Linked DNA regions of Arabidopsis thaliana. The protein of the gene in region 1 interacts with the protein of each later gene in a pairwise test. Each region holds a gene or a part of one and is shown in the gene's direction. Other genes may lie near its edges.

The links. Proteins that work in one complex are often made in the same cells at the same time.
Region 2: the proteins of AT1G70000 (region 1) and LHW interact in a two-hybrid assay, tested with the Arabidopsis thaliana proteins (one large-scale study listed by BioGRID).

The regions. Positions count from the first base shown.
Region 1 is NC_003070.9:26,360,712-26,367,805, reverse strand, and holds AT1G70000 (myb-like transcription factor family protein), read left to right. Parts: upstream 1-2,927; 5' UTR 2,928-3,170; coding exon 3,171-3,459; intron 3,460-3,551; coding exon 3,552-3,760; intron 3,761-3,844; coding exon 3,845-4,132; 3' UTR 4,133-4,827; downstream 4,828-7,094. Other genes in the region: AT1G69990 (Leucine-rich repeat protein kinase family protein), read left to right, coding at 5,796-7,094.
Region 2 is NC_003071.7:11,647,204-11,656,147, forward strand, and holds LHW (transcription factor-like protein), read left to right. Parts: upstream 1-3,155; 5' UTR 3,156-3,526; intron 3,527-3,613; 5' UTR 3,614-3,691; coding exon 3,692-3,786; intron 3,787-4,244; coding exon 4,245-4,524; intron 4,525-4,635; coding exon 4,636-4,695; intron 4,696-4,773; coding exon 4,774-5,799; intron 5,800-5,891; coding exon 5,892-5,993; intron 5,994-6,066; coding exon 6,067-6,180; intron 6,181-6,260; coding exon 6,261-6,386; intron 6,387-6,487; coding exon 6,488-6,637; 3' UTR 6,638-6,940; downstream 6,941-8,944. Other genes in the region: AT2G27229 (Pentatricopeptide repeat (PPR) superfamily protein), read left to right, coding at 1,980-2,354. UniProt on the Arabidopsis thaliana protein: Transcription activator that regulates root development; promotes the production of stele cells in roots. Coordinately controls the number of all vascular cell types by regulating the size of the pool of cells from which they arise.

The DNA.
Region 1 (7,094 bases):
TGAGTTTCATCTTGATCAATCATGTTGAAAACCTCAGACAAAGATGGCAAAGTTTTCTTCATGAGAATCTGACTCCTAACAGTATCATAACAATCATTGAGTCCCATAAGAAAATCAATGACTCTATTAGTCTCTCTTTCAATCAGAAGATCTTCTACAGTCCGTGGAACAGCCTGAAGACTCGTCAATTCTTCCCAAAGAGTTTGAGTACGAGTATGATACGATGACAAATCCAGATTGCCTTGACGAAGAGAGTGAATCTGTTGACGCAGCTTGTAAAGTCGAGGGAGGCTAGATTTGTGAAATCGAGTATAGAGATCTTTCCAGATTGCAGCGGCTGTGGGAAAATACAAGATGCTTGTATAGATCTCCTTTGATACACTATTCAGAAGCCAAGACTTAACCATACTGTTACAACGACGCCAGATTTTGCAATAAGGATCATCATCATCAGGTTTTGGAATAGATCCATCCACAAATCCAAGCTTATTCTTAGCTTCAATGCTAGTAGTCATAGCTATAATCCAGGTTCCATAGTTGTTTCCATCTAACAGTTCTGGAGCTAGGACTAAACCAGGATGATCGGAGCTAACAAGATGATAAGGACTATGACTATTATCAGGAGAATCCGATACCTCAAAGTGACGCGATGAGCTATATTGAGCTGGTTGATGAATCGCAGCATGAATCGAGGATCCTGGAGCTCTCGCTGATGAACCAGAAGACTGCTCATGAATCTTCGGTGAAGCAATGACAGGAAGATCCGGTGAACTACTCCGACGAACACTCTTTCCATTTCGTTTACCTATGGAGAATCGAAACAGCTAACCAAAGAGACTGAATCGCAAAGGAGACGAAAGGAAAACGTGTAGAAGAGAGAAGAAGAACAATGAGAAGATGAACAAACTCCGGTGAGATTCCGGTGAGATTCCGGTGAGATCTAATCGGAGAAGTTTGTTACGGGACTGAGATCGAGATATTTTGCTCTGATACCATATTAGTAAAACAATCTCATTCTCATTAATTAGCAAAAGAGTACAATTGGGGGTTTATATACAAACTGACATTGGCCTAAACCATAAGCCTCTAAACCAAAATTAAGATTGGTTTATAAAATACCAACCTTTACAGACTCTATATGAAATCTATACTAACCAAACTAAGTTTATATACAACAATCTAAGTTATATACATTAATAAATACAAACCTTCACCTAAGAAAATATCTTTAACCCGACATAAATTTGTTACTACGGACATGTTTTTGTTTAATTGGAGAAAGATATATGATTGTGTATGGTGTCTATTGATTGATTGTCACAGAAGTATAGGCATTTTCTGTTATTGGCAAACTAAGAAAGAAAAGACATTTTCCACTAGTTATGTAATGCATCTTCGAAATACCCAACGGACCAAACCTGCTCATCCTTTCCGTTTTTGATATTATATAACAATATTTTATATCTTTTAATCGCTAAAAACGAATATTATATAAATGTATTGGATGTCCAAAAAAAAAAATGTGAATGGAGGCTTTCATATGCTATATCACTATCAACCAATCACAGAACATCTTTGACAGAAGGTTACCTATGCACGTACACTACACATACGATGCTCTTTGTTTATATCTTTGCTTATAGTTTATCGATGCTAACCACTGTAAGAATTAAGTAAAGTTAATGCCAATTTAACATTAAGTTAAAATTACTGTAAAAAGTAAATTAGATAGGCTGCCTTTTAAAAAAATTGTTGAATTATAACCATATTTGCTTTTCAAACATGCATGTCCCAAGTAACAGAACAAACAAAAAAAAGAAGAAGTTTGGCGTAATGCTCCTATACCATGGGTTAGTGCTCTCAAGCGGGTCATGTGTACACCAACAATATCAATTTTTGGGTGTTTGCTTTTAACTGAAAAAGTAAACGCATCGAATCTTTATTATGATTTCGATGAATAATGATAAAATTTGGGACAATTTCAATTCAAGTGAGGAAAACGTGTCTGTGCCTTCTTGGTAAATCTAACACTGAAATTTGACACGCAGTTGCTTCTATAGTCAGTAATTCCAATAAAGCATCTAAAATTGCATTTGAATATTTAATCATAGTCGTCCCTATCAATAATTGTCACCAACAAAGATAAAGGGTAAATAAGAAACATATAATGAAAATTGAATGGTCGTAGTTTTATATGTTAGTTGGAACCAAAGATTCTTCAATCTATCATCCACTCAGAGCTACGTGGACAGTCGATATTTTGGGTTATATAAAAAAAAACAAAATTGTACTATAAGACAAAAGAAAACAGTATTAAAAAAAAAAAAATCAATAACAAGATTATATCTTATCCCAATGAACAAAATGAAAATTTAGTTATTTTGAATAATGTTACAGGTTTTAATTAAATTATACTATATCACAAACAGCAAGAGTCAGATACATCGAACGGTCCAGCTTTCCTCCTTTATTTTTTTCTGGCTATCGTTTTGATGCAAAGTTGTTTCGTTAATCGTGAAAATTAAAAAGCTACAGCAATCTTCTCCGAAACTTCATACACTCGCCGACAAGAGAAACTTCATCCACTCGGATTTCTCGTAACTTGCAGCACTAAACATTTCATGAAACTATTCACAAAAGTCCACGAACCTTGCAATTGGCCACAAAATTTAAAATACTTATATACGTAACGACAACCTATCCATATTTTTCTTTCTAACGATCCAAAACTGGCCACGCTTCGACTCCATGGTGATATTAACTAGGGAAGTGGCTAATGGCAAACAAGTGCTTAGAAGTGGTAAATTCAAATAATAACCGTCGATTATTTCTTTCTAACCGTTATTGAGGTTACCAATTAAAAAAAGTGATCACAAACTAGGTCAATGAAAAGGGAGATTTTTTGTTTTCTTTGGGCCAATGAAAATAGAAACTAAGATGGACAAAAGAAAATATTATAATTGGACAAAACAGAGTCATTTGAGATTTAAAACAGAGAAGTAATAAAGGTCAAATGTTTTTGTGGTGAGCTCTCAAAAACAGACATAAAAAAAAGAAGCAGAATCATTCCCATTTATAACAAACCTAAACCTCTCTTTTCTTCTTCTCTTTACCTTTTTCATTCCAAAATCTCTCTCTCTCTCTCTCTCTTTCTCTGGCTCGGGAAGAAGATGTCACGTAGTTGCTCACAGTGTGGAAACAACGGCCACAACTCTCGCACATGTCCGACGGACATAACTACCACCGGTGACAACAACGACAAAGGCGGCGGGGAGAAAGCCATCATGCTTTTTGGCGTCCGCGTCACGGAAGCTTCATCATCTTGTTTTAGAAAAAGTGTTAGTATGAACAATCTCTCTCAATTCGATCAAACTCCTGATCCCAACCCAACCGATGACGGTGGTTACGCTTCAGACGACGTCGTTCACGCCTCCGGTAGAAACCGTGAACGCAAACGAGGTTAATAAAATAACCTTTCTTCTCTCTTTCCCAAATCTCATCTCTGTTTTTGTTTCTTGTTTTTGAAACTTTCTTGCAAATTTGGAATTTAGGAACTCCATGGACAGAGGAAGAACATAGATTGTTTCTTACTGGATTGCATAAAGTTGGAAAAGGTGATTGGAGAGGAATCTCTAGAAACTTTGTTAAAACTCGAACACCTACTCAGGTAGCGAGTCATGCTCAGAAATATTTTCTCCGGCGGACTAATCAGAATCGTCGTCGTCGTAGATCAAGCCTCTTCGATATCACTCCCGATTCGGTAACGTTTCATTCTTTAAAATCTATAATTAAAATCAAGAATCTGTAAGATTATACTAACACATAAGGTTCGATATGTCAACAGTTTATAGGATCATCAAAAGAAGAGAATCAGTTACAGACTCCATTGGAGCTAATCCGTCCAGTTCCGATTCCTATTCCGATTCCACCGTCGCGGAAGATGGCTGATTTGAATCTTAACAAGAAAAAAACTCCAGCGACAACGGAGATGTTTCCGCTGTCGCTGAATTTGCAGAGGCCGTCTTCGTCGACATCGTCATCGTCCAATGAACAGAAGGCACGTGGCTCACGTGCCTCCTCGGGGTTCGAGGCGATGTCGAGTAATGGAGATAGTATAATGGGAGTGGCTTGATGAAGAAGATAATGTTTTAATTAATTTATATTGTATAAGATAAGATCTGGATGATGATTAATTTGAAATTTGAGAATTAGGCTAATTAGATACTTTGATCAGAATCAAGTGAGTTTTTAAGTTTGAATTAGTGTGTACATGTTTTTTTGCTCTTTTTGGGGGAAACGACTTGTCGTTTTTGTTGTTGTATGATGTAAAACAACAGGTAGTCTCTGTGTTGTTTTGGTCAAGACTTGATCAGATTCAGAAGTGAAGACGACTTCAAGCTTAAGATAGTTTAGATGTGTCTTTTGAAAAGTTTAAACAGAATGGTTATTGGGTTAAGGTTAAGTGTATCTCATATGCTTTTTCTATCTTTTTTTTTGGTAAGACTTTTCCAGTAATTTGCCGTTTTCTTCGGGGTGTGTGTTGTTGATAATGTCACATTCATGAACCAAACACAGTTATATTACTTTAGTAACAGTTTTTTTTTGTTTTTTTGTTTGTCGTTTGACGTCATTTTGTTTTATTTATGTTATTACATACATGGATATAATTTATGAAACTGCCAAGAAAACAAAGAATATAATTTGTTGAATTGTTATTGGCCTACCAACTATATCAGCAAGATTCGAATCTATACTTTGTTAAAATGTCTCAATGTAGGACTGGACTGGAGATAAATATAAAGTAATATATAGGGTAAAGTTTCTAAGTCTTGTATAGCATGATTTTTATTAGGGAATAGAATTCTAATTTCATGATGTAATTCAAACAACTGAAATGGAAAATTGTTTAAAACTAGCTAAACTTGTACAGTTGTACTATTTAGAGCCCAAAGTGATAACTGTTTTATGGCTTTTATCCATGCAAAAGAAAAACATCAAAATAAAGTGATGTCCATCACATACATCTTAAATAAAGTAATAATGGGCCTAGCTAAGGTATAGCCCATGGGCTTATTCGCTGATCTAACCAAAGTGTCGCTAATTTTCTTCCTTGTTTTTTTAACGCAAATTTTCTTCCATGTCAATTATGTCTTTTTAATCAAAAATTCCTCCACACCAAAAAAGAACGTAAAAACTAAAAATAGAACAAATTCAACTACACTCAGATAATCGAATTGCTATGTCCAATATCCAAAACATTTCAAGCCATTTAGTGCTCTCACTAAACATATTTTAACAAAATATGAAATAACATTCCCAAAATTGCGATCAAAAGGCTAGAAACATCTTCAACAATTATGACAGTCCTAAACCAACAGTTCAAACACGTTTTATATCTGTTTGGCCAAATTAAACGAATATAACATAAAAATACGATTGATCTTAGACAATTACTAAAGTTTCTAAATAATAATCTATACTTTCACAAAACAAGAAATACAAATTGATTCTTGCGCAGAAAGTGCTTTGGTACCTACTTTTTTTACCACCTTTCCTTTTCAATTGAGACATCAACACATTCACTAAAACAAACTCTCAAACTGCTCTAAACGACACCGTTTAGTTACAGATAACTTTACTTGTATTTAAAGTCACCAAAAGTTTGAATTTTTATTTGTGCCTTCCACAAAGCTTTAAGCTTAAACACAGTCAATGGCCGTCCTTCCGCCATAAAAGGACAAAAAAAAAGCTTCCCTCTTTTCACAAAACCCTAAAGAAACAAAAAAAAAACCATCATGAAAACGATCTCAATCTTCTTCGTCATCATCTTAATGTCATCTTCTCACGCAGAAGACGATGTACTCTGTCTCAAAGGCTTTAAATCATCACTCAAAGATCCTTCAAATCAACTCAACACATGGTCTTTCCCTAATTCATCATCGTCGATTTGCAAACTCACCGGAGTTTCTTGCTGGAACGCTAAAGAGAATCGAATTCTCTCTCTTCAGCTTCAATCAATGCAACTCTCTGGTCAAATCCCTGAATCTCTTAAACTATGTCGGAGTTTACAATCTTTAGATCTTTCCTTTAATGATTTCTCCGGTTTGATTCCTTCACAAATATGTTCTTGGCTTCCTTATCTTGTTACTTTAGATCTTTCCGGTAACAAACTCTCCGGTTCGATACCGTCTCAGATCGTTGACTGTAAATTCTTAAACAGCTTAGCTCTAAACCAGAACAAGTTAACCGGTTCGATTCCGTCTGAATTAACCCGGTTAAACCGTCTCCAACGACTTTCTCTAGCTGATAACGATCTCTCTGGTTCGATTCCCTCCGAGCTATCTCATTACGGAGAAGATGGTTTTCGCGGTAATGGCGGACTTTGTGGTAAGCCGTTATCCAACTGCGGTTCGTTTAACGGTAAAAACTTAACGATCATTGTAACTGCTGGCGTTATTGGAGCTGTTGGTTCATTGTGTGTTGGATTTGGGATGTTTTGGTGGTTCTTTATTAGAGATAGGAGGAAGATGAATAACTACGGTTATGGCGCCGGAAAATGTAAGGATGATAGTGATTGGATTGGTTTGTTGAGATCACATAAGCTTGTGCAAGTTACTCTGTTTCAGAAACCTATTGTGAAGATCAAATTGGTTGATTTGATTGAAGCTACGAACGGTTTTGATTCCGGGAATATCGTTGTTTCGTCGAGAAGTGGTGTCTCGTACAAAGCTGATTTGCCTGATGGGTCTACATTGGAGGTTAAGAGGCTTAGTAGTTGTTGTGAGCTTAGTGAGAAACAGTTTAGGTCTGAGATTAACAAGTTAGGTCAGATCAGGCATCCGAATTTGGTTCCGCTTCTCGGGTTTTGCGTTGTGGAAGACGAGATATTGTTGGTGTATAAGCATATGGCTAATGGGACGTTGTATTCTCAGCTGCAGCAATGGGATATTGATTGGCCAACTCGGGTTAGAGTCGCTGTTGGAGCGGCTAGAGGGCTAGCTTGGTTGCACCATGGATGTCAACCGTTGTATATGCATCAATATATCAGCTCAAATGTGATTCTTCTTGACGAAGATTTCGATGCTCGTGTTATT
Region 2 (8,944 bases), on another chromosome or scaffold:
TTTAAGTGGCCACACGCACACAAAGTTTTTGCTCGAAGAAGAATCAACCATATACTTCGAAAAATTTACGTCCACATACTTTATATTTTACAACATTTTAACTGTCATATGGAAAAACTCTATTTGTATGGAAACAATCTATTTAAAGTAAGATTCTTTAACCTTAGTTTATTAAATGAAGATAATTTTAAATACAATATAACATTTTTCTTAGATCTTTTTAATAAATTACTATAAATGAATGCTTAAACAAATATATATATATATATATATATATTCAGCGAATGTAATTGAAAAGAGAATCTATTGGATTAATATTAAGTTGAAGTTGAGCTAAAGAAAAAAAAAACAATTGAAAAGAGAATGTAGTTTGGGCCTCTATTGTCTTTAGGGGTCTCTCTGATAGTAAAAAAGGCACTGCCACTTCTGTGAAAATTCAGAGAGTGAATGGCAAATTGTCACCGGTGACGTCATCAAGACAGCAACAACTACTAATTCCACCTCGATGGTTTATGAGACATCTAAGCATTAAAACATCTCTTTTTTTTTCTTTCTCCCAATTTCTCATCTACCTTTTCTTGTTAATAACAAATGAAAATCAGTTTTTTGACAAACAAAAAACAAAAATTCATTTTTTTATATTATGTTTTCACTCGAAAGTTGCAGCCTACCACAAATATTTACTTTATTACCACCTATAGTTTATGTACCATCTAAGTTACTAGGGATGTGTCTATATTCATTTGGTATATAGCAAATGTTTTTTCCACAAGAAACATAGACGAAACAAATTTTCAATAAATGTTATGTGTGTTCTCACATGGTATCAACGTTACACATTAAGAAAAAAAAAATCAACGTTACAAAACTTTGAGTGTTTGTTTATTTGTCTTTATTTGACCATGGACGAGAATGGCATCACATGAAATGTCTCTACCAATGGTTATGTGCTATATACCACCAATATTCATAAATATGATTTATCAGAACTTTACATAAAATTCTGCTATCAGTATTTTTTATTTATTTAATGGTAATAACTATGCTGATTAAATTTTAAAATCAGTATCAATTAAGAAAAACAGTGATTTTGTGGACTGATATATTGGTCGACAACCGATAAATTGATCGTTCGTGATTGATGACATGTGAACTATTTTGTATTTTTGTTAGTTTCGTGGATCATGAACACAAATAATATGTTTTTCACTACAAAATCTCACTCAGTCGGATTTTTCTTTTTAAACTTGTAAATTGTACAAACCATACAATAAGAGGCTATCTACGGTCCATCTTCCCGCAGAACTTTCATTATCCTTTTGTAACATACTGGCAGTTACATTTAAAAAAACTGTCAAGATTACTTGAAATCATTCGGTGTGGTGCCTTCTAAAAACCTCCCAATGCTCAAATTATATCTTTATTTTATTTTATTGTGGTCAAAGTATTACGATGTTCTTTTAGTGATTCAGTATAATGTTCATAGTTTTTCTGTTAAAAATATCATAGTAATTATAGATCGTTTTTATGGGGAAAAAAAAACTTAGTACATAGTAAAAGTAGTTAATAATCTATTAAAAAATAATATGGTTTGGACCTTTTTGCACCCACTAAAATATCAGTATATAACTAAGTTAAATCTTTAAATTAGTAATTACGAATTGCTTGATGTTAAATTAAAGTGTTAATGAGTTTTTCAGAATTTAATTTAACATGATAAATAATAAAATAATCTAAATATTAAAGAGTTTATTAGAAAATAGGCATTTGTCTTGGTTATATATTTATTTTAAGGTATTTCCTTACATGATTTTCGAAAGAGGTACTTTTCTCTTGTGAAAAGTCATCCTTATCCTCCTCTCATTTGCATTATCTTTTACCCAATTGAAGCAATAAGTCGTGTCTGTTTCCTATATTCGATATTTGCATCACCAATTGAAGCAATAAATCGTGTGTGTTCCCTATATTCAATTGAAACAATGGCGATATATGCATCATCTTCTAAATCGCCACTCCTGCAAAGACAACAACTCGGATTTTCAAGAATCCAAGTTTTTATATGGAAAATCACTGAGAGAGAGATCATTGTGAGGGATTTAAACCGGTTTCATCATTTCAAGAATGGACTTGTGGTGATTACTGGTAATTTGAAAAAGACAGGTGAGACGATATTCAAAAACCGGTTTCAACTCATTGTTATTTGTGAACCGATTTATTCTTGGTATAGGAAGACTCTGGGTGGGAAAAGATTCCAACTTTGCTTACGAAGGTTAAGTCGCAACAAAGAAAGCTTCTTTATTTCCGCCATGGACACAGCCTATCGTAGTCATGTGGACAGAACTGAAATTCTCTAAAATCAGAACCGAAATTCCACAAAATCAGAACTAAAGTTCCATAAAATCTATAAATTTTTTCGATTGGGTTCCCTATATATTATCTTAGGGTTTAGTATTGTGTAATTAAAAAGAAAAATTAAGTTTGCTTGAAAAACAAAGAAGAAATCGATTTAATCAGATTTTGCAACTATGTTCGATAAAGAAGAAGAAGAAAGAAGACGATGAAGAAGAAGAGAAGGAAAAAAAGACAGGGACAAAATTGTCCCGATTGAAGCAATAAATCGACACTGTTGTATTCAACTGTGGAAAATACCTATTTTGAAATAACTTTATTTAAAATGCCTATTTTAAATATAAGCTCAATATTAAACACCTTGAACTTATGTGTATTTATTATTTGTGTGTACGGGAAGCAATACCAGAAAATGAAAATCTCTTTTATTTATTGACAATCCATAATCCTACAAATCCTCTAACTTCTAGACTTATGCCGTTATTAAATATTTTAATATATATATATACATATATATTTTTAATAATTATATTTAGGAACGTCTTTTAATTTATCTCCGAGGGTACACTTTTTTTCTTTATCTCTTTTGTTTTTATCTAAAAACAAACTTTTAGGATATTACCTCACGAAAAAAACAATAAATTATTCGTCTAGCACCATCGGAAAAAGACAAAAGACTTCGACTACCCCACTCAGTGGCACAATCCTGTAATTTCTACTAAACATTGATACCCTTTCTCGAATTCATCGTGTTCTTTGTTTTTAATAAGATGGTACTTTTTCCTCATTTTTCAATCTTTTTTTCACCAAGAAGCAGAGAAAAGAAACATTAAAGCAGAGAAAAAACAAAGACAAATAATCTCCATTTGCTTTCTTCTCCATCTTCTTCTAATTTTCTTCAAGTTTTATCAATGGCTGGTGTTACTGGAATCTTAAAGCTTGAAGCTTGGAGCATCTTGTGAAGAAGATTAACTAGTTTCTTGTATTTTTCTTTTCTGGGGTTTTGAGTTTTTTTTTCTCTTCCTTATTACCGGAAGTAATGGCATGTCGGAGTATGATCGCTTTTAGTTTAGATCCTGAAAGAAAACAAAGTGGAGGACTTAGGACAAAACAAGCTGGAAGAGGATCTTGCCGTGGAAGTTAGTCTTTGTTCAAATCCATTTTCCTCTTAAAGAATGTAATAATGGGTTTTTATTGATTGTTGTAGATTTGTTAAAAAGTTTTGTTTTTAGACCTAAAGTTTCGATTTTTTTCTTCTGGGCAGTTTGAAATTGCACTGTTGCAAGTGAAAAAGTTTGTTCTTGTTGGAGCTTAAAGAAGAGAGAAGAGAAAGAGAAAAGCTATGGGAGTTTTACTAAGAGAAGCTTTAAGGTCTATGTGTGTTAATAATCAATGGTCTTATGCTGTTTTCTGGAAAATTGGCTGTCAAAATTCTAGGTACCACTCTTATTCTCCTAATTCTAATAAAGTGTCAAACTTTATTCAGTCAAATATATTCAGTGTTTGTTAGTTTAAAGTTTGAGAATTTTTTGATAAGGGTTTAAAACTCAGATCTCGAGGATGACTAGAATTATTTATCTCTGTTTAATTCTTGGAGTTTTGTGTTTGGTTTGATCTTGTTTGTCTTAAAGAATCTTTCGATTTGTAGTTGTTTTGTCGACAATAACTATATCCTTATTATTTGTTTATGAATTGTCTAAAGAGTTCAAGTTCTTTAACTCTCTTGTCATTTCAATTTTTATTTCTTGTCTTTGTTCGTTTTGTCTTTGTTTAGCCCAAAATCTTTTGTAATCGTCTTTTTGTGGTATTCTAACTTAAACGATTGTTGCATATTTTTGTCATGTGTATTCTAATTTTTTTTTTTTGATGTGTTTTTTTTACTTGTTTTTGTGCAGCTTGTTGATTTGGGAGGAATGTTACAATGAAACCGAATCGAGCTCGAATCCTAGAAGACTTTGTGGACTTGGTGTTGATACACAAGGGAATGAGAAAGTTCAGTTGCTTACAAACCGAATGATGTTGAACAATCGAATCATTTTGGTAGGTGAAGGTCTAGTTGGCCGAGCTGCATTTACTGGACATCATCAATGGATTCTAGCTAACAGTTTTAACCGCGATGTTCATCCACCCGAGGTTATTAATGAGATGCTTCTCCAATTCTCTGCTGGTATTCAGGTTTGATACTTTCTTCATGTTTTGAACATCCTAAGTTAGGCTTCTTTAGTGTATATATATGTTCAAGCTCATAAGAACTGTTTGTGTGTGCTTATTTTGTTTGTTCTTCAGACTGTTGCAGTTTTTCCGGTTGTTCCTCACGGTGTTGTTCAGCTCGGTTCCTCTCTGCCTGTAAGTTCAAGTTACATTGTTATGTGAAGTGAGATTCTTGTTCTTGATTTAACTGTGAATTGTTTTTTGTGTGTTCAGATTATGGAGAACTTGGGGTTTGTGAATGACGTGAAGGGTCTTATCCTGCAGCTCGGATGTGTTCCGGGGGCTCTCTTATCTGAAAACTACAGAACATATGAACCTGCTGCTGATTTTATTGGAGTGCCAGTGTCTCGGATAATACCTTCTCAAGGACATAAGATCCTCCAATCTTCGGCTTTCGTAGCTGAAACTAGCAAACAACATTTCAACTCCACTGGATCATCAGATCATCAAATGGTTGAAGAATCTCCCTGTAATCTTGTGGATGAACATGAAGGAGGATGGCAAAGCACAACAGGATTTCTAACAGCTGGAGAAGTTGCAGTACCTTCAAATCCAGATGCGTGGCTGAATCAAAACTTCTCTTGTATGTCTAATGTGGATGCAGCAGAGCAGCAACAAATCCCATGTGAAGACATCAGTTCGAAACGCTCGCTTGGAAGCGACGACTTGTTTGATATGTTGGGTTTGGATGATAAGAACAAAGGTTGTGACAACAGTTGGGGAGTTTCACAGATGAGAACAGAAGTACTCACTAGAGAGTTATCCGACTTTCGGATCATTCAAGAAATGGACCCTGAGTTCGGTTCTTCGGGGTATGAACTTTCAGGAACAGATCATCTGTTAGATGCCGTGGTCTCGGGTGCTTGCTCCTCCACAAAGCAGATCTCAGACGAAACTTCCGAGTCCTGCAAAACCACCTTGACTAAAGTTAGTAATTCTTCGGTTACCACGCCGTCTCACAGTAGCCCTCAAGGTAGCCAGTTATTTGAGAAGAAACATGGGCAACCATTGGGGCCATCATCGGTCTACGGGTCTCAGATAAGTTCTTGGGTTGAACAAGCGCACAGCTTGAAGCGTGAGGGCAGTCCAAGGATGGTGAACAAGAATGAAACTGCAAAACCGGCTAATAACCGGAAAAGGCTTAAACCAGGAGAGAACCCAAGACCAAGGCCTAAAGATCGCCAAATGATCCAAGATCGTGTCAAAGAGCTGCGTGAAATAATACCAAACGGTGCAAAAGTAAGTGAAAAACTTATCTGTTCTTGGCAAATTAAACAATCCCTAAGAAAGGTTATTACTAACAAAGAGTACATGTGGTTTTTATTTAACAGTGTAGCATTGATGCACTCCTTGAACGTACAATCAAGCACATGCTCTTCTTGCAAAATGTCTCCAAGCATTCTGATAAGCTGAAGCAAACCGGGGAATCCAAGGTATAACATAAAACAATAATATTTTGGTGTCTCTCATGGATTCTTGATCTAACGTTTGTTGTATTGTTATAAGATTATGAAAGAGGACGGTGGAGGAGCAACATGGGCTTTCGAAGTAGGGTCAAAGTCTATGGTGTGTCCAATTGTCGTAGAAGATATAAACCCGCCTCGCATTTTCCAAGTCGAGGTAACATTTCTGCCTAAGGTTCTTAATAAAAAACACTCAAGATCTCGGTTTTGATCGAACGTTTTCTGGTTTTGTAACAGATGTTATGCGAGCAACGAGGATTCTTTCTAGAAATCGCAGATTGGATCAGAAGCTTAGGGTTAACGATCTTGAAGGGAGTCATCGAAACTCGAGTAGACAAGATTTGGGCTCGCTTCACTGTTGAGGTATATTATATAAGTTACACAAGGTTGTTTAACTTGGAAAGATGAGATTGTGTTAGAATGTATCTTATTTAAACTGAAACCGGGTCGATATTGGATTGTAGGCGAGTCGCGACGTGACGAGGATGGAAATATTCATGCAACTAGTGAATATTTTGGAGCAGACAATGAAATGTGGAGGAAACTCTAAGACTATTTTGGATGGTATCAAAGCTACAATGCCTTTACCGGTTACTGGTGGCTGTTCAATGTAATGACACAAATTATTGACCGTACCGGATTGCTCCGGTTTAATAAACCGGGCTGGTTAAAAGCTTGATTCATATAGAGGTTACGAGCGGACCGCTCTCAAGGATTTTAGGCTCGCTATGACTAACTAAAAAGTCAGTCTAAACCAGAGATGATGATTTTTAAGTGTGTTTTTTTTTCTCAACTTTATGTTTTGTACATTAGTTGCGAATTTTCATTTGTGTGGAATTTTTTAATTTTAATTCAGTTTTGGAGTTGTAAAAAATTTAGTTAAATTGTTTAAAATTATTCTCGACCAGTAAGAGTTCAAACAATTCACGGATTTCAAGACCGGTAAAAAGAACCGGTCCATCAACAGCTTTAACAGTACACAACAAAGCTTCACATGTTACAAGTACCTTTATGTTACTTTGATTAGTAACTCTATGTATATAATTAGCTTATTATTAAAAAAAAAAACACAAGAAGCTCTACTTTCAATAAAACACACTCTTTATTAAGAAACGTGAGGCCTATAGAAGAAAAGCTAATAATAGTTAGTTATAATACTTTTGTTAACAGCCTTATAATGTGCTATCATGTGAATTCATAATCTCTAATGGATGTCTTAATCCATTCCTAATATTTACATTTTCTTCATACTACTAATTAGTGGATCAAACTTAGTCCAACATCAAATTCTCAAAACTGCGTTTTTGTTTGTTGTCTCAAAAATGCTTTATTTACACTTTTGAGGTACCTAAACTTTGCTGCAAAAGGTGCATGAACATCTTTGTGTCTTGCTTTAGCCATCTCTCCACTCTATAGATTATGATGGGATAATCGACAGCACATTATGATTCACTAAAATTCATTATATTTTTCTTGGGCCCTTCAATTTTCTTCCTCACTTTTAAAATATGCTTCCAATAATACTTTATCAACAGTCTACTAGAGATGATTTCCCACTAGGCTACAGATGTATATATTCTTTTATATAAACGGTGTAACCTTTTTCAGTTGTAAATATTAACCAGAACTTGTATACTATCAGTGACCAAAATAAAATAAATTAAAGTTGTATACTAGGTAACATAGGTTTTCTTAACTAAATAAATTTATATAGGAAATCTAAATTATTAAGGTATGCAGCAAGATTTGTCTTGTGTGGAGGAAAAGAAATGAGCCAAGATCCCATTATCCTCTAATATGATATGATTAGCTAATTTTGATAAATTTAGAAAATGAGATAATTTTTTCTTTGATACTGTAACTAGAACATATGCATATTTTGTAAAATATAAAAATGATAGGTTTCTATTGATAGCAAACTTTTCTTACTAGAGTGAATGTTTTTTCACTTCTAGCGAATCTTTTTTTTTGTTGGATAAACACTTTTAGCGAATCTTTTATATAGTAAAGCAGAAGCAAAGAAAACAACTATTTGCTACAGATGGATTTACTTAGCTTTTGTTTTGGTTATTGTACAAAACACTATATACATACCTTTATAGTAAGTAAACTAGTAATTATTCTTACCACATTGATCATTATAAAAGTCTCTAAACTTGAAAATTTGAGAGATATTTTTTTTGCCAAAGCAAAATTTGAGAGATATATATTGAACGTGTTTCACTAATGTTTTTTAACATTTTCCAAACTGACTAGTGTAAAGTTGTTAAGATTTGATGCTATTCATGGATGGGATCGGAAGTGACAGAAATGGATGTTACCAATGTTTTCTTGCATGGTTAATTGAAAAACGAGATATGCATGAATCTACCTTAAATACACCTCTAATTTTCTACCAACACATCTTATTTATAGACTGCATAAGTTATATGTCGTGCGTACTTATGGTTTCATGCCGTCCTTGGCTGATACTACCTTGTTCGTTAAAGAAATGAATCATTTTTCTACATTGCTGGTATATCGTAGCTATAGCTAGTAATAACTCTTTTGAATCTCTTTTTGTTGTTTTGCGCAGAGAGTTCAACATGAAGGATTTAAGTCTCTTATGCTTATTTTTTAGAGTATAAGTGGCAAGTTCGTGTAAGGAAATATCTATGTGTTGAAGGCAGGATCTATCAGAAGACACTGCTTTTCGCTCATAAATCATGTTATGTTTCCAATGGACCCTTATGTTCATTTCAGCAAAGACAAGATAATTATATATTGGATTCACCAACGACATATCAATAGCATATTAGACGTTTTCTCTATCGTACTACAACAATATATCATCTATGGAGTTCACAGGTTAAGCCACTTTTTCAAGCTCCTACTCATGTTCGTGTAGGATAGAATACTAGATATGAGGCTACTAACACAAT